Linked DNA regions of Lepisosteus oculatus. The protein of the gene in region 1 purifies or fractionates together with the protein of each later gene. This does not show direct contact. Links are inferred from orthologs where the notes say so. Each region holds a gene or a part of one and is shown on either strand. Other genes may lie near its edges.

Region 1 (9,724 bases):
TGTCATAACTAAGTTAATTTCATAGAGAAGCAAGGGACCTCCAGGTTTTATCAATTCTTGCAGCTGTCTGCAGAACCTCTTATTTGCATATTCGCCTTTTGACTTTAAAAGCCTTTTTCCCTGCTGCAATTTAACCTATTAAAAATAAATGTACTTATTTCAATGGTTTGCTTGTAGGTCGAATTAAATCCATTTGTGATCTTAAAAATTCCAATTTAAAACATAACAAACATTTTTAAACAGTTCATATCTGAATGAAACTAATTTATTCGGTCATATTGTTGCAAAATATTGAGTGCTCGTTTTAACTTTTGTAGTTACGCTTTATCAAACAGGTTCAACCACAACTTAAAGAAAATTCTTTCTCTGTTATCTAAGGTACAGTATACACTCTACCTGTAATCTCTTTGTGACTGCCTCTCCATGCCACTGCCAATCAGTGCTGTTCCTGAATTCATATGGATGCTACTTTTTGTCAGTTTCATTAAGACCAAGGCTTTTGTGTCTGAATGCTTCATGAAGTTTGTTGAGAAGTCAAGCCAAATCAAGTTAGCCAAGTCAAGAACATGTCAGCTTGCAGAACAGGAAAAGACTGTCAATGTCAATACAAAATAAATCAATATGTATTTTTTCCCCTTAGTTTTAACTTTGGCCAAAAAGGTCTTCAATCCACCCCAAGACCAAAAGGGTCTTCACCCCATCCTACATCCACAATGAAATGATTGAGCTCTTTTGGGTCAAATCTTCCACCTTTTTTCAATGACACTACTTGAACGCTGCGGCAAGGTGCTGTAGTTTTATTCCGAGTTTAATGTATGAAATGGACAAGTATTTAAGCAGTGTCTCTGCCAGTTCTTTCCTATAAATGCATGGGGTAAAGCAGCACGAATGCAATGGCAATATTCCAACCTTTGGACAATTCAAAACACAACTCACTCAGGTACTGTCAACTGAAAACCTCAAATGCCAAAGAACCCGAGACAGCCGCTGTTGGTTTACTTTCAGTTTTGCCACATGGGGGCGACTCAGATGTTGAGTGGCAGTGAGATGGATAAGCAACTGCAAGGAATAATATAGACGTTCAGCAGCAAATATACACATGTCTAGCAATGACAACAATAAGACAACAATAGCAGTTCTGAAGAGATATCATAGAGAAAGGTACAAGACGTGACAAGAGTGTTCAGGAAAATGTCTAACAAAAAGTGTTTTATGGTATGTTTATGCTAGAGTTCATGGTGTTCGAATTAAATATAGATATCGGTTAGTTTGAGACATGCACATGTCTGTGTTTAAGTGTCTGCTGCAAATTTCACTTTATCCAAGCGACGGCAGAATCATGAGTCATTGTGCTAATAGTACTGTATTAATCATACTGTAACCCAGCCAGCCTGCTTTAATGCAATTTTGAACTTTAAAGAACAAAGTGATCTTGATTATTACACTAAAACATGGAAATCTGACATTTTAATATGAGGTGTTGACCAAAATAATTAACATGAGCGACACAATGATTTGTCTGAGAATAAGAAATATATCTCATGGATGTCTATATAGATCAGAAATCATTCCCAGGCTCAATAAATCAGAAAGTAATGCCATTTAAAGGCTTTCAGAAAGATTTATTTTTTAAAAATAAAGTCCCCTTTTCTTTCACAACCTACTTCAAATTTGAATAAAACAGTTTACAAAGGTATTTTTATAAAACACTCACATTATATATATATTAATTTAACTTATAAATTATTACTTACTGTCTATATTATATGTAAGCTTACTTACAGTACTGTATACAGTATACAGTATATAACTTTATATGTTTTCGTTATATAATGAAGTGGAAACACTTCTGGTAAAAATCAATGTGTGAAAGCTATGAACACTAATAACACTGGAGTAACTTGAATATTTTCAAACCACTCCTAAGGAATTTCTGCCTAACTATTATATGAATATGCCAAATACATTAATTATATAAGGTAATACAATCACAAAAGGTTAGATTTACAGTATAACATTATACACAAGTACATTCTATACAAATTTATACAACATTCTATACAAGGTGAAACTGAGCTTAAAATAAAATTCACACACAAATCTAGGTGAAATACAGGGGAATATAAAAAACTAGATGAAATCCATTTTTATTTGTAAACTCAAATACAATTATTATGGTCAAGTTTCTAAATGGTACACACTTGCTGCTGAAAAAATGATTTGCATTAAAAAACTAAATATTATTTTTTCAAACTAAAACTATAGAAAAAACAATAGCATAAAACAAAAAGTAGATTTCGATTTTTAAATACTGAGTTAATATAATTTCATAACATCTTTTGCAATGACTTATGAGTCTGAGTAAAAGTATACTAGTTACAGTATTTTAGAAAAACAAGCAAATAAATAGTTAACTGCTGTACACTGCAGGCATCGGAGAGTTGCGTATCTCAGCCGACTGCATTACAGTACACCAAAATTAAACGCTATTTATTCGCTGTTGTATGACACAGTTCCAAGCCTTAATTTGACAAAAAAACTACTTAAATCTTTCTGATTTAAGATTACGGTTGGGGTTATTTGTGTCATTGTACATTTCATTTGTTTACAACCAATTTGTTGCACGTTGCCCACTTTCTTAATTATGGTCACTGTAAAAACTATTACTGTATTGTATACATTTCCCGTTTTCAGTTTACCAGGATCTAACGTTTTTTTTTCCTTTGCGCAATTCAGCGTAACTCAATGCAAGTACAAATTTAAACGATTTGAATTTAAGTAATCGTAATACGGTGCTCCGCGCAGCTAAGACAGGTTCAGGTCATTTATTTCTTTCCTTTGACTTGGTACTGTATCTTAGCGATGCACTGAAACTCAATTCAAGAAGAGCTATCAGTTTTAGTAGTACTCTGACTTTTGACAGTAAACTGACTTGGTGAACTAGCGTGCTCCTTTATTCAGAGCGTATTAACAAGAGTCGACAAGTTGGGGTTAGAGTATTTTATTTAAGACCCCTAACAACTATATACAATAAATATGCATAGTAGGTTTTTAATGCAGTGGGTGGACCACACCACAGCTTCACTGTCTGTACAATTCATTACTTTGAATTAAGAGCGTAAAGAAAGCAGTTTTTACAGCGCTTTTCTCTCTGTAGGCTACAGTACATCCTGAGAAAGAATTCAAAATCTAAATTAACATTTCAAAAAGCAGGTCAACTATCTGGTAATGTTGCAATCATCAACTGACTAACATCAAAATAAGGAGCACAATTAAAGTTTTATGGGTGATGAGACTATTTTTGTGACTTAATTGTACCTTTTTCCATTATTGCGAACATGTTAAGTATCTAAAGACCCCCCCAGAAAAGAAAGCACATGCATAAATGGCTGCTATATGCACTCGTTTTACGTTATGTAAGTTGATGCCATCATCCTTTTTATCCTCTTCTTCACACATTACATACAGTACAGCAGTACTTCAAAGCACGAAGTGTATGCTTCGCATTGAAGTCGAACACAGAGCAAATGCAACATAACAAGTGGGCTAACTTGTGAGGAAAAAAAAGATAACTTCTAAAATAACGCTTCTTAAATTGGCTTACTAACTCAAGATCATTACAGATTTTGTTTTAAAAATAGCAAAGCGTATTTATTTACACTTAAGTTACAGACCATAAACAGGACTGCAAACAATAAATAATGCATTTGATTTTTTTTAAAGAATCCGCTCAATCAACCCTGTGCATAAAAGAAAGTCTTTGTCTTAGGCAATTACCAACCTTTTCCGTTTCACATTCTACTCACATATAAAGTGACAACTGTACAAAACAAACCCCACAACACGTAAGAGCTCCACTGCGCCTACCTAAAATGCCAAGTCCTCGGTAAATTTAGGGTCCACTGTAGTTCCCTGCCTAGTCTTCTTCACAAAAATAAAGATGCTCTGTGCTTTCAGATCAGTCGACTCTTTTCTTGTTTAACGTGTTGAGCTGCTTGCAGGTGTTTCTTTTGCTATAACGAGAGGGGTAAATTCCAGGTCTCCTGTTCCATCCACCGTGCGCTTTCTGGCTAACCGGAGTTGGAGAGGGACTGAATCTCTCAATCGCTACTACGCGTAACAGAAACCGAGCGAGCGAGAGAGAGAGGGAGTTACAGCGAGATAAACTGACAAGCAAACGAGGGGTGTGGCTATTAAATGAACCTCTCTACAAATGATACAGCCTTGAATGAATAATTCTTTCTAGGCCTTCTGTGGTGGAAAAGTTATAGTTATGTGATAGCTGCTGGGTGCACTGTGGCACAAATTAACTTACAGTAGTGGTGACGGGGGTAAGTGCATCCAAGTTTGGGAGTGTGATCACGGAAAAAAATCTTATCAGAGAGCGGAAGAGAAGCAAGCGCAGCGCCTTTTGCCTTCACTGCACTTTCACAATTATACAAATTAACTTCGCAAAAGGTTCCAATTTCCGTCGCAGTTCGCGGTTTTACACCGTTTACGCAGTGCGGATGCTTGAACCCAATATTATCAAGAATCAAGAAGCTGTGCTTTCTTGTATCGCATTGTACAGTATTGTGAATATAGGTACTGTGTGGATGCGTTATACTGTGACTCAGAACAACGGTAGTTTCTTTATCCATCCATTATATACAGTACATCCTCCTCATCCTCCAGCAGCAAGCTGGTGCCCAAACTAGCAGGCTAGCAGACACCACACTAGCAGACTGCACAAGCCTTGACTTTGGATTGGCTGAGACAGGGGGATGACAGAGCACACCCATGGAAAATTTGGGGACACCAACTAACTGACATGGAGAAAAACTGTGAACTGTGAGGCAGCACAAAATAATTTTAAGACAACTGTATATTGAGCACATGAGGGCAGCCCCACTACACAGTAGCTTTGGTGCTCAGTCTCCTTTACTAGCACTAAACGAATTCCTCTGATTGCCCCGGTTCTGGATTTTAAAATCATATTAACATTTCACAGATACTCTGTTCTCCTTGTGCAATTGGTTACAGCTTCAGTACAACAGGTAAAAAAAACAACAACATGAGGGAAGCACGGTGCAATGGTTAGTATTGCTGCCTAAGAGCACTGGGGCCCTGGGTTTAATTCCAGACCTGGGGTGCTATCTGTGTGGGTTTCCTCCAGGTGCTCTGGTTCCCTCCCACAGTCTGAAAACATACTGGTAGGTTAATTGGCTTCTGGGAAAATTGTTCTTAGTTTGTGCGCCGTACTATGGGCGTCCTGTCCAGGATGTACACTGCCCTGTGCCTGTTGCTTGCTGGGGTAGTCTTTAGCTTCCCTGTGACCCTAAATTGGGTGAAGTTGTTAGAAAATGGATGGACGACCTCCTCAGACATGTAAGCAGGGTGTAATACCCAAGTATTGCACATAAAAATAAAACAGGAAAACATGAGCTTAACCTTTTGTCACTCATTTTTTTTACTGGTGTGTTAAACAAGGCCCACCCTTGATTTTCCCTCTGATAACATGGGATAAACCGTGTTTGACCCAGATATACAGAATTAAAATACTATATATCTGTATATATTTCAGTCTTTACTTCTAGAAGGTTCCAGAGGGGGTTAATATTACATGTCCCTGGCAAGATAAATGTTCTGCATTTCCCTTGGAACTCTGTTCATTCCTTGCGGATCTGAAGGATTTTCTTTGTGGCAAAGACCATTGACGAAATGATGACAATCAGGCTACAGTGCAGTGTTGAGCAGAACAGCAATCAGGAAAGCAAACCATTCAAACAAAAAAATACACATCTTGATTAGAGAACATTGAGAGCTAGATACCATGGTGCTCCAAAGGGTTTTTGAATAAAAGAATAAATGGTGGTTATAAATGAACCTTTTCTGTATCTGTGTGGTGTTCGTTTGGAACAACATCAAAGTTTCAGTTTCTAAATCTATGCTGGTCAAGGAGAGGGGAGTAAATCTGGGCCTGTTTATCACTGCCATTTAAAAATTACCAATAAGAAGTACATAGAAAATTCAGGTATTTTCAGAGGGTTAACATATTATGGTCACTTATGTACTGGAAATGTGTTCCTAATACATTTCATTTCTAATACATGTTGTTTTATCTCTCTTCTTGCCATTAGCGTAACTTAATGGAGATGCTTGATGTTCTGGAGCACTTGCCAGTGTACTGCTGTGACTTGATGAAATCCCCTTGGATCCATATGTCCATGTGCATTAGTTTATATGTGTCACAAAAAGTAGCTTGCCAGGGATGTGTGAAGGGTTATTGTGGTAGTCAATAAGCATGCACTGATTTTATTCAAATTCACTGTCTTTTCCTTTTTAGTCCTTAACATAAATATTCTGAAATCATATTAACCTGAGGCATCTACTGTAAATGCATGGATAATGTTTTACCATACGCAATGTTATTCACTGCTATGATGTCACATTGACCTCTTTTTTCATAGTACTGAAACCTGGTATACTGAGCTGCTGAGGACTATTTCGTACCGCTCTGTGTTTCTTTAGAACAGTCATGGTGACCTACTTTTTCGTAGTGTCGGCAGTGGTTATTTATGTTCCTTTTGGGGAGACTTGTGTGTTGCTTCCGTTCTTGTGTTCTTGCACTCTGACTGATTCCTGTTTGTGTGATTTGTCACCCAACCAATATAGCTGAATTCCTTCAGAACTCTCATTTAATGTACATTATGAAGATATCTGAACAACAGAGAAAGAGGTGTCTAAAGCACGGGGAATGAAAATCACACTTTAGATTTCAGCCTTTACAATGAATTTTAGTTAGTCACTGAGTAAGAAATGTTTCTGTGACCCATTTTAAATCTGTATGTTTTTTGTTCAGTACTTGCACAGAAAGGGCAATGTGGAATTTTCTGCACTTTTATTTTATTGCTTACATTTTTTTTTACATTCCCCTTCTGTATTGTTTTGTTTTTTAGGTAGTATCAGCTCCCCCCACCCACTCTCTTTCTAATAACACTTGCTGTGCATTATTGTAGGCCCCCTCTCCATGTACTCTTGTTTCTTCACCCACATGGACTGGAAACTGCTGAGGCAGGTGATAATGGAACCTCCTACCCAGGATGAGAACTGGCGGTGGGGCCCAGACAGCACAGCCACGGGGGAGCCCTGGGGAACGAGCTTCAGCATCTCCATCTTGAGTCTCTCAGAGAAACCAGGGAGCAGCGAAGAACCACCACATGTTGCCACATTCTTCATCATCACTGCCTGGTGCTCGGTAGCACACTTTTTAAGACTGTTCATGGCCATGATGTGCATGCCAGGTTGTGACACACCTACAGTGGATGGGCAGAACAGTATTTCAGGGCAGAGGAACCGCTGGCTGCCCAGAGTAATGGTGTTTCCATCTGGAAGCAGGTAATCCATCAGGTAACCTTGCTCTTCTGACCTCAACTCTTCGCCTAAGTCCTCTGACACATAGCAGCATTTCTCCTTCATATCCTGCACTATGGATATTTCCTTTGAGCTGAAACAATGTCCTGCCTCTGCCGCCAGCTTGCTTAGGTGTTCATTTAAGGCCTGACCAGCCAGATCGAGACGGGAGGTGGCATGGGGCAGACAGTACCCATTATAGACAGGGGAGACATAAGTGCAACCAGATCCAGAATCCACAACCAAACCTGTGAGTCGTCCATAGGAGTAGATGGACAGCACAGACTGGGGAGCTAAGTAAATGGCTGGTACCTCAAATCCTTCGAACAGAACTTCTGCAGTCTTCTCCCGGTTGGTGGAAGGAGTGTAAGGAGGGTCTGTCACTAAGATTCCATGTTCCTCAGGGCAGACTTGCAGCTCATGGTAGAACACATGGTGCCACAACTTTTCTAAGGCATCCCAGTCGGTCACAATACCATGGGTGATAGGCTTTTTCATCACTAAATCCTTTCTGGGTATGTTGTGTCCAATGTAGTAATCCAGTTCTTCGCTCTTTTTTGTATTCCATCTGCTTCCTATAAACATACCAGTAGAGGACTTGATCATGGTTTGGGGTCTCTCATCCCCAGAGAATCCAGCTTTAGTGTAGCCAGATCCAGAGTCAAGTACAATAGCTACGGTCTGTTTGAAATCATCACCTCTGTCTTCAGAAACTACAGCTGACTCAGAAGAAGCTGTTGTATGTTGATTGGTGGCTGGAGTTCTCGCAGACATTAGGCCTCTTGTTCAGGCTACTTTCACCTTTTTGTCCTTTATGTATTTATTTTAATGAATTTCTTCTGCTGTGCAAAGACAACAGTGGGGTTTTGAAGGATACTACAGTATCTCTTGGTAGCTGTGACAACCAACCACATCATAATGGCCCACTAGCTAATACAAAGGGTACCGGCAAAGGTGGGGTATCCTTTGTTGCCTGTGATGTCACAAGTAAAACTAATGATGCAATTCTTTTCAAAAACATTCCAAAGTACGAAGGCAAAAAAAGAGCATGCTCTAAAATAAACAGGAATTTTGATTTAAATATTAGTGAGTGAGTGTAGTTACATCACAGCTCAAACGGGAAATGTATACAATACAGTAATAGTTTTTACAGTGACTATAATCCCCAAAGTCATAAAATGCTGAATCAAATGTATAATTATTTCAGAGTATGTAATTATAGCTTTGTTTAATATTACTTTGAAACATGATACTTCAGTGGTCAAATATCACCCAAAATAATTGGTTATATCTTAACATTTATATAACACTACAATGAAGCTACAATTAAAATTGTGTATTAGCATTTTATTTGGAATTTCCTTTTTGAAATAATGAGAAGATCTCATTTTCCGTGAATATAAAAAATACAAATCAACAGCTATAGAAGTAATAGAAAAAAAAACTAGAACTGTATACTGGGTAATAAGGATTTAAATAGTTGACAGAGATGTGGGGAACTACCAACACCTTGTGTGATCACCTGCTGAAGTGCTAAGTAATGAAACTCTCAAAGAGACAAGGATGTTCTCACACGCTTGTTATTCTGGGTTTCACTGTTATTAACACTTTACTTTTAGCCTGCTCTGCAAAAAGAGTCCAGTGATTTTCCAAAGAAATCCTGAGAGAAAGTTCCTAGGATAGAAAATTCTAACCACAGCTTCAATTGGCTGAATATCCTGTGATGAGGACTAAATGTAACTTTATTTGTATGAACAAATACTGATCCCAGCATTGACTATTACCAGGGTGCATGTGCACAACACTTTTGCCTTTTTAAGATGATATTCCTGACTGATTCTTGTGCCACGCTTTTAATTGAACTGGCAATGGTTTACTTTACTCGGGCGGACCTGTGATGATGTGGTCAGCATTGTTCCCTTGTTCCCTGGGGCTCTGAGATCAGTTCCTGGGGTGCCATCCACTCAGTGTTTACTGTATATGTTCTTCCTGTGCTCGCTTGGGTTTCCTCTGGTTACTCTGGTTTCCTTCCACAGTCCAAACATACTGGTAGGTAACTTAGCGTCTGTGAAATTGGCCCTGGTGTAAGTGTGTGTTTGTGTCTGTGTGTGCCCTGTGACAGACCAGTGACTTGTCCAGGGTGTACAAGACTGTCTTGTGCCTGTCACTTGCCAGGATAGACTCTGGCTCCCCAGTCACCCTGCACTGGATAAAGAGGCTTTGAAAATGGATGGATCGTTCACTATTGTCTATATTTTGTTTCACCATGGTATTATTGTCATATAATCCATCCATCCAGGGTATCAGCACCACTGCATTTCTGCACAGCTCT
Region 2 (10,000 bases), about 41 Mb from region 1:
AGCCCTCAGTAATACACACACAACAGGACAGGAGACACAGTGAGAGAGAGGAGATCACAGAGAAGCCCTCAGTAATACACACACAACAGGACAGGAGACACAGTGAGAGAGAGAGAAGATCACAGAGAAGCCCTCAGTAATACACACACAACAGGACAGGAGACACAGTGAGAGAGAGAGGAGATCACAGAGAGTCCCTCAGTAATACACACACACAACAGGACAGGAGACACAGTGAGAGAGAGGAGATCACAGAGAATCCCTCAGTAATACACACACACAACAGGACAGGAGACACAGTGAGAGAGAGAGGAGATCACAGAGAATCCCTCAGTAATACACACACACAACAGGACAGGAGACACAGTGAGAGAGAGAGGAGATCACAGAGAATCCCTCGGTAATACACACACACAACAGGACAGGAGACACAGTGAGTGAGAGATAGGAGATCGTAGAGAAGCCCTCAGTAATAAACACACAACAGGACAGGAGACACAGTGAGAGAGAGGAGATCACAGAGAAGCCCTCAATAATAACATTACTAATAATAATTGACAGGGCGTGAGAAGTGCTCTTACCGTAGCACCGTAAAGGAATAAAGAAATGTCTCTTTGCCTCCTGTTCCCGAAATGTGAACCGCGATCACGCGTGTTTATTTACGTCTCAGTCCATGTCCTCCCGATATTCTTCAGGCACCACGGTTACACAGACACCCCCGGTTCGGTCCCTGGGCCTTTCCTTGCCGCCGCTGTCGGTACACAACTCTCGGAGTTTGCCTGGGTCTGTGGTGTGTGTGTTGTTATTGTTGTTACTCGCCCGTCTGTGAAGGAAGGAAAACACCACAGCTTCCGGTTTTAAACGGAAACCGGAAAGGGCTGGTCTCGACGAGAGCGACCGGAAAGAGCCGAGGGGCGATCCCTTCCGCTCGGGTCTTTCCGTCAACTCGCGCTGTGGACGCGCAGGAGCTTCTCTGTTTCCGGATCACGACCGGATTTGTGTTCTGTTGTGTAGACAGGCCAGAGCAGTGTTTTAGTAGCCGAAATAATAATAATAATAATCATCGCTGCCGCTGTTGTCATCATCACCAGCTACAGAGTCGATCCCCCTGCTGATGTCGCAGGAGAGACGTGCCGACAGCGCCACCTAGCGTTGGTAAAAGTTTGCGCCAGTAGCGGTTTAATTCCGACGCGGATCTGCAGACGCAGCACAAACCGCTTGAGAAGAGAGCTCTGCTCTTTTTTTATTATTAAACGTATAAAGAATTTTACAGACACAACCAGAGGATCGGAAACAGACAGGCACAAGAGAAAAAAACACAAACAGAAAAAAAAACAGTTAACCGCCAGAGGTAATGAAGTCAATGATGTGTTCGGATGATTTTTGGACAGATATCAAACGTTTTCCTTGCTGTAGCATTTCTCAGTTTTTTTAATAGAATTTCGTTTCAACTCCACCTCAAAAGTACTGAAAGGGGGAGTGTTATTGGACCATTTTGCTTGATGAATGTGACATTTACCCAGAATGACTATGATAAATGTACTATAAATAAATGCTTATTAAACAGCACAATCAAATATCAAAATCCCTCAATCTAAAAACACCTTTAACTGCCTGCACACAAAACACTGCAAGTCCGTCCAGAACAGCTTCCCAAACCCACCCCAGCCCTTGGGTCCCGGAGCGCAGCCCGAGCCCGGCTGTGCCAGCGGGGGAGATCTATCCGCTCGACGGAGGGCGGCTCGGGCCCGGTGATTTTCTGCGCGGACCTCAGAACCCCCTGTACGGCCTTTCTGTCCTGTCCTGGGGCTCCACTGCACCACCCCGGAGTGCGCTGGCTCTGGGGCTCAGGATCTGCGCCGTGATAATATGACTCTGATTTTACTCTGTAGTCGTATGTAGCTCTCTGAATGGTCTTGAATTCATTCAGATCTCTGAATTAATGAGCGGCTGATCGCTGATTGGGGTGTTTGGCCTCCTCTGGGGCTCAGGAGCTGTGCCTGTGGCTGGGAGGTTGCCGGTTCGAATCCCGGGGCTGGCAGAGAAATCCTATTCCTCACTCCGCTGGGCCCCTGAGCGAGGCCCTGAACCCCAGCTGCTCCAGGGGTGCTGTATAAATGGCCGACCCTGCGCTCTGACCCCCAGCTTCTCTCCCTGTCTGTGTGTCTCCTGGAGAGCAAGCTGGGGTCTGTGAAAAGACACATTCCTGATGAAAGAGACTGTACAGAGACAGGAAAGAGATCTGATCTTGATTGTACAGGGCCAGTAAAGAGATCTGATCTTGATTGTACAAAGACACTAAAGAGATCTGATCTTGATTGTACAGGGACAGGAAAGAGATCTGATCTTGATTGTAAAGGGACAGGAAAGAGATCTGATCTTGATTGTACAGGGACACTAAAGAGATCTGATCTTGATCGTACAGAGACAGTAAAGAGATCTGATCTTGATTGTACAGGGACAGTAAAGAGATCTGATCTTGATTGTATAGGGACAGTAAAGAGATCTGATCTTGATTGTACAGGGACACTAAAGAGATCTGATCTTGATTGTACAGGGACACTAAAGAGATCTGATCTTGATTGTACAGGGACAGGAAAGAGATCTGATCTTGATTGTACAGGGACACTAAAGAGATCTGATCTTGATCGTACAGAGACAGTAAAGAGATCTGATCTTGATTGTACAGGGACAGTAAAGAGACCTGATCTTGATTGTACAGGGACACTAAAGAGATCTGATCTTGATTGTACAGGGCCAGTAAAGAGATCTGATCTTGATTGTACAGGGACAGGAAAGAGATCTGATCTTGATCGTACAGGGACAGGAAAGAGATCTGATCTTGATTGTACAGGGACAGTAAAGAGATCTGATCTTGATTGTACAGGGACAGGAAAGAGATCTGATCTTGATTGTACAGGGACACTAAAGAGATCTGTGAGTTGAGAGCACAGCCGTGTGCTCAGCCCTGTGTTGAGGATCGGGGGGGGGGGTGTTCACCCCTCTTTTTGCACGTCTCAGAGTGAAAGTGCCCTGGGGCATACGAGCACCCGTACCTGGCCCCGCTGGCCGAGAGCACCCTCCTCCTCCTCCTCCTCGTGAGAGCGGTGATCGGACCCTGTCGGCCCGAGACCTGTGAAGGTTACTCTTCCGGCCCGGAGGAAAGCCTTTCCGACTCTTCCTGCCATGTCCCCCCCAGGGCATTCCTGCAAGCCGCTGGGACTGGAGCCCCTGAGGGTCTGATATTGAAGACGCTCAGAAGGAATTCCTGACACCTCTATAGCGCCTTTCTGGACCCTCCACCCCTCCCCCGGCGCTGTCCAGTACTGGGGACCCCCTCCACCCCCCCAGTCCGCTCACACACTCCAGCTCTCAGTGGGGAGGAGAGCAGAGTGATGAGGCCAGTTCAGAGAGGGGGGTGATCAGGAGGCCATGACTGGTAAAGACCAGGGGGAGTCTGTCCAGGACACTGGGGTCACACCCCTACTCTTTCTGAGAGACACCCTGGGGTCTTGACTGACCACAGAGGCAGGACCTCAGTTTTACGTCTCATCTGAAGGACGGCGCCTTGTTTACAGTCTAGTGTCCCCGTCACTGTCCTGGGGCATTAGGACCCCCACAGACTGCAGGGTGAGCACCCCCTACTGGCCCCACTGGGTCTCCCACCCAGGTACTGGCCAGGCTCACACTGCTGAGCTCCAGTGGGCTGTCAGTGAGCAGTAGGGGGATACGGCTGTAAATAATAATAATAATAATAATTACACTTATATAGAGCTTTTCTGGACACTCCAGTCAAAGAGCTTTACAGGTACTGGGGATCCCCTCATTTTCCCAGGATTCTTTTCCCGTTCACAACCGTTTTTTTGTGCAATATATGCCATGGACCCGTGCAATACATTTATATTTATATTTACATCTATATTTAGATTCATATGTGCAATACGATCTTTCTGTTCCAGTTTGTTCTTTGTGTGTCCTGGACTGTGAGGTACTCTTTTAGTGCACTTCTCACTGTACTGATTGTATAGTATGTATTGTATTATTATTATTATTATTATTATTGTATCATTCGTTACACTGTTGCTGTGTTGTCTGTGTTAAGCTGCTGTTGGAGTGCAGTTTCCCTCACGGGATCAATAAAGTATCTAGTGTCCCCGTCACTGTCCTGGGGCATTAGGACCCCCAGAGACCGCAGGGTGAGCGCCCCCTGCTGGCCCCACTAACACCTCTCCCAGGTACTGGCCAGGCTCACCCTGAGCCCCAGTGGGCTGTGTGTGAGCTGCAGGGGGGTACGGCTGCTGTTGTTATTCATGTCACCAGACAATGGCCACCTGGCATACAGATTCGTCTGTGTTTAATGTAATCTGTAATACAAGAATCCATCCATTCATTCAGACTGTACTCAGATTCTTCAAAAACATCCTGAAACAGTCCTACACACGTCTTGTGTCATATAAACTAGTTCAACGATGTGACCCCTCTTGTAATGTTAATCAGGTTGGTAGTGTTGTGGCTGATGTCCTGTTCTGCTGACTTGTATGATGTTTTTGTATTGTTATATCACAATGTCTGTATATTTATGCCCTTAATTGTCGTAATTTCTTCTTTGAAGAATAATAACATAGAACCTCATTTTATTTTTTTATTATCATGGTAAATATTTAGCTGTCTCCCTGGCTTCAGGTCACCCTCAAGCTTCAGGTCAAGCCCAGCAGAGACAGTGTCTCTGCCCCTCCGCTGGGAGAGATGCCTCTGTGTCTCCGGGAGGGACAGTAACACCCCTCTGCAGTCTCACCCTCTCTCTGACCTCAGGGCCCAGCGCTGGCCTGGGCTCTGTGTGGGTGATGCTGTAAAGACTGGCTTTGTCCTGAGACTCCCAGAGAGTCCTGCTGGGAGCACCTGGTGGACACTGTCCCCTGACCCTGCTGTCCACTCCAGCACAGGACAGGAGGACACTTTTCCCTGACCCTGCTGTCCACCCAAGCACAAGACAGGAGAACTCTGTCCCCTGACCCTGCTGTCCACTCCAGCACACAACAGGAGGACACTATCCCCTGACCCTGCTGTCCACACCAGCACAGGACAGGAAAACTCTGTCCTCTGACTCTGCTGTCCACTCCAGCACACAACAGGAGGACACTGACCCCTGGCCCTGCTGTCCACCCCAGCACAGGACAGGACACTGTCCCCTGACCCTGCTGTCCACTCCAGCACAGGACAGGAGGACACTGTCCCCTGATCCTACTGTCCACTCCAGCACAGGACAGGAGAACACTGTCCCCTGACCCTGCTGTCCACTCCAGCACAGGACAGGAGGACACTGTCCTCTCCCCTCTCTCCCCTCTCTCCCCCCTCCTCTCTCTCCTCCTCTCTCCTCTCTCCCGGGAGCTCTGTTTCCACTGAACAAGTACAGGTTTACTCCCTGCTGGAAAGAGGAGACAAGAAACACAACGTTTCGGCTGCGGAGCTTTTTCGGGTGTCGGGCGGGTTCCTCTGGAGCCTTTTTTAGCGAGTTACCACCCTGCACCTGTGTCCGTGTCCCCTAATGCGTGTGTAAGCGCTGTGGGTGGTGTTGTTGTACAGGGGGATATAGGCTGGTGCTTGTTCCCCTGTCTCGTCTCTGCTCGTCCTCTGTCCTGCACGAACCCATAGGCCCTACAACACCATCGCCAGGGGCACCTACTGCAACAGACCTGAACTTGACCGAAAATCGATTACACAAGGGAAATAAATCAAGATAAAGGCCAGCGCGGCTTTCATGTTCTCACTTTTAAAAATACTCTGCAGATTCGCCCTGACGTCTATTTCAAACTGCTCAGACACGGGTGTCTTCCCCGACTTTCTGTATATAACAACGTGCAAGTTGTTTTTGAGTCAGTAATGACGAATCATTTGTCCGCAGATGACCGACGACGCCTCGACCTTCGAACTCCTGTGAGCTGCAGGGGTAGCTGACGAGTGCTGTCCGGAGATTGCCGAAGTAGCCTCGGCCGGCCCCCCTCCGGAGATTGCCGAAGTTGCCTCGGCCTGCTCTCTCCGGAGATTACCGACGACTGAGCCTCGCGTTCGATCCCCCTCCCGCTCCTGCTCTTCGGGCCTCTCCGGCTCCGGAGAAAGCCGAGCTCTGACGTCAGCGGGGGGGAAGGCGTTGCAGCGGCCGAGCCGGGGAGAGAGAGAGCGAGCGAGCGCAAGAGCGAGGGGGGAAAAGCAAAGATGGCGGAGCTCGAAGACGTTACGTTGGATGGGAAGCCGCTTCACTCGCTCCGGGTGGCGGACCTGAAGGCCGCCCTGGAGCAGCGAGGCCTCCCCAAGAGCGGGCAGAAGAACGCGCTCATCAAGCGGCTCAAAGGGGTGAGTTTGGCCGCGGTTCCGCGGGGGGCTCGGACGGGACTGGGGCGGCAGGGGGGGGCGGCAGCAGGCTCCCGGAGCACGAAGAAGCGAGCCCTCGGGTTGGAGTCCGCGGCGGCGGCCGCCCCCCGGCCCGGGCGGGCGGGCGGGAGCGAGGGAGCGAGGGCGCGGGCGGGCGGGAGGCCCAGGCCCGGCGCCCGGGGGCCGGGGGCGCGGCGAGGGCGCCGGGCCTGCAGGCTGCGAGCGGAGCGGCGGCTGGAAAGTTGAGCCGCGCCGAGGAGGCCGAGAGGGAGCGAGGGGCGAGTGTGTGTGTGTGTTTACGGGAGTCGGCGCGGCTCGGTGTGTCGGTTAGTTTTTTTTCTGAGTAGAAGTCGACGAGCCCGCGCTTTGTGTGTCTGTGCGCGTTCACGGAGAGCGAGCGAGGGGGGCCGTTTCTCCCGGGTGCGTGCGCGCTCTCTTGCTCGCGCTCGCAGGGGGGGGGGGGTTGAGGCCGGAGGACTGAAGGAGCGGGGATGTCGCGCGCTTTTACAGTTTGTGTTTTTCTGGCGGTGTGACGTGGACGAGGCTCGTTCCCGGGGATTAGCTGTCAGCGAGTGCCAGCGGCCGGAGTCGCGCTGGTTGGAAACCCGGCGCTCTTGACGGGGGGCGTCGGGGGGCTCCCTCTCTGCGAAATTACGAGCCTGTTGGGATCCCCCCGCTACCCACGTGAGCGCGCGCGTCGGCCACTCGCGATGATTGGTTTCAATTAAAGACGCGACGCTCTGTGCAAAAACACGAAGGTTGTGATTTTCAGAGGTGTCGACAAATCAGGCTGGGGGGTCTGTGTGTTTGAGTTGTTGAAGTTTGACGCCCCTGGCCAGGACCCCGATCAGGTGTGCCGAGAAGCCCGGTTGTGCTTTTCTGTGCCATCAGACTGCTGCTGCACTGTGGAGTTTCTCTCTCGCTGGCCGGGAGCTGTGACTGCACTGCACTGTCTGTGTGCGATGCTGTGTGTGTTTGTGCATGTGCTGTCATTGGTTCACCTCCCTGTGTGTGTAGGACGTGCTCAGTAAGTGTCAGTCCAGATCCCAGGACACTGTCAGTAAGAGTAGGGGTGTCCTGACTGGTCAGTACAGATCCCAGGACACTGTCAGTAAGAGTAGAGGTGTCCTGACTGGTCAGTACAGATCCCAGGACACTGTCAGTAAGAGTAGGGGTGTCCTGACTGCTGGTCAGTCCAGATCCCAGGACACTGTCAGTAAGAGTAGGGGTGTCCTGACTGGTCAGTTCAGATCCCAGGACACTGTCAGTAAGAGTAGGGGTGTCCTGACTGGTCAGTACAGATCCCAGGACACTGTCAGTAAGAGTAGGGGTGTCCTGACTGGTCAGTCCAGATCCCAGGACACTGTCAGTAAGAGTAGGGGTGTCCTGACTGGTCAGTACAGATCCCAGGACACTGTCAGTAAGAGTAGGGCTGTCCCGACTGGTCAGTCCAGATCCCAGGACACTGTCAGTAAGAGTAGGGGTGTCCTGACTGGTCAGTCCAGATCCCAGGACACTGTCAGTAAGAGTAGGGGTGTCCTGACTGGTCAGTACAGATCCCAGGACACTGTCAGTAAGAGTAGGGGTGTCCTGACTGGTCAGTACAGACCCCAGGACACTGTCAGTAAGAGTAGGGGTGTCCTGACTGGTCAGTCCAGATCCCAGGACACTGTCAGTAAGAGTAGGGGTGTCCTGACTGGTCAGTTCAGATCCCAGGACACTGTCAGTAAGAGTAGGGGTGTCCTGACTGGTCAGTTCAGATCCCAGGACACTGTCAGTAAGAGTAGGGGTGTCCTGACTGGTCAGTCCAGATCCCAGGACACTGTCAGTAAGAGTAGGGGTGTCCTGACTGCTGGTCAGTACAGATCCCAGGACACTGTCAGTAAGAGTAGGGGTGTCCTGACTGCTGGTCAGTCCAGATCCCAGGACACTGTCAGTAAGAGTAGGGGTGTCCTGACTGCTGGTCAGTCCAGATCCCAGGACACTGTCAGTAAGAGTAGGGGTGTCCTGACTGGTCAGTACAGATCCCAGGACACTGTCGGTAAGTCTAGGGGTGTCCTGACTGCTGGTCAGTCCAGATCCCAGGACACTGTCAGTAAGAGTAGGGGTGTCCTGACTGGTCAGTCCAGATCCCAGGACACTGTCAGTAAGAGTAGGGGTGTCCTGACTGGTCAGTACAGATCCCAGGACACTGTCAGTAAGAGTAGGGGTGTCCTGACTGGTCAGTACAGACCCCAGGACACTGTCAGTAAGAGTAGGGGTGTCCTGACTGGTCAGTCCAGATCCCAGGACACTGTCAGTAAGAGTAGGGGTGTCCTGACTGGTCAGTTCAGATCCCAGGACACTGTCAGTAAGAGTAGGGGTGTCCTGACTGGTCAGTTCAGATCCCAGGACACTGTCAGTAAGAGTAGGGGTGTCCTGACTGGTCAGTCCAGATCCCAGGACACTGTCAGTAAGAGTAGGGGTGTCCTGACTGCTGGTCAGTACAGATCCCAGGACACTGTCAGTAAGAGTAGGGGTGTCCTGACTGCTGGTCAGTCCAGATCCCAGGACACTGTCAGTAAGAGTAGGGGTGTCCTGACTGCTGGTCAGTCCAGATCCCAGGACACTGTCAGTAAGAGTAGGGGTGTCCTGACTGGTCAGTTCAGATCCCAGGACTCTGTCAGTAAGAGTAGGGGTGTCCTGACTGCTGGTCAGTCCAGATCCCAGGACACTGTCAGTAAGAGTAGGGGTGTCCTGACTGCTGGTCAGTACAGATCCCAGGACACTGTCAGTAAGAGTAGGGGTGTTGCTTATCCATCCTTTATTGACCTTTGATCAGGGGACACCTCTGATGTATTCCTTGTTAATGCATGGTATTTGCTTACTGTAGTGTGCTGTGTTTGATTCTGCTCTAATTAGTTGCATTGTTTTGAATAGTGATTAACTGAGATTATAATCAGACTCCACTGACAGAGCAGTGTGAGACACTCCAGACTGGACTGGACTGACTGGACTGTGATCTTGATTAGTGATTCACTGAGATTATAATCAGACTCATTGACACTGACAGCTGTCTGAGCCAGTGTCTGACTGACATTAGTGGTATCGATGTGAGCTGTGAGAGGATGAGAGGGGGCTCTGGTAGAACTGGTGTCCTGGCCTGCTGCTCCAGTGATGAGTTACCATGCTAATACTGATACACCAGGCTGGCTGTGTGTCTGTCTGGGTGTAGGTGAGTTAAACTCTCCTTCTCACATTGTCTGTGTGCTCTGAGGAGATCACTGGGCCAGCCTGCCAGCCTCTGTTAATTTCTCTCTCCTGGGCTTCCTGACTGAGACCAGCCTGTTACCTTGACTTTCAGATTATCCCTGAGTCTGAGGATGGACTGACTGGACTGTGATCTTGATTAGAGATTAACTGAGATTATAATCAGACTCCACTGACACTGACAGAGCAGTGTGAGACTCTCCAGGCTGGACTGGACTGACTGGACTGTGATCTTGATTAGTGATTCACTGAGATTATAATCAGACTCCACTGACACTGACAGAGCAGTGTGAGACTCTCCAGGCTGGACTGGACTGTATGATTAGCAGTGTGTATCCTGAACACCAAGGGGCTGTAGTGTCTAGGCTGCAGTCTTCAGTAT

What was found. Proteins that work in one complex are often made in the same cells at the same time.
Region 2: the proteins of caM kinase-like vesicle-associated protein (region 1) and acin1b purify together in Homo sapiens (affinity purification with mass spectrometry; 3 studies listed by BioGRID and IntAct, counting the BioPlex papers as one, with this or other methods). This does not show direct contact. The link is inferred for Lepisosteus oculatus from reciprocal best matches to the Homo sapiens genes CAMKV and ACIN1.

Annotation. Positions count from the first base shown.
Region 1 is NC_090699.1:54,174,678-54,184,401, forward strand, and holds the start of caM kinase-like vesicle-associated protein, read right to left. Parts: upstream 4,226-9,724; 5' UTR 3,868-4,225; intron 1,060-3,867; 5' UTR 937-1,059; intron 1-936. Other genes in the region: uncharacterized protein, read right to left, coding at 6,970-8,166. UniProt on the Homo sapiens protein: Does not appear to have detectable kinase activity.
Region 2 is NC_090699.1:13,178,774-13,188,773, reverse strand, and holds the start of acin1b (apoptotic chromatin condensation inducer 1b), read left to right. Parts: upstream 1-6,119; 5' UTR 6,120-6,213; coding exon 6,214-6,351; intron 6,352-9,517; exon of another isoform or gene 9,518-9,629; intron 9,630-10,000.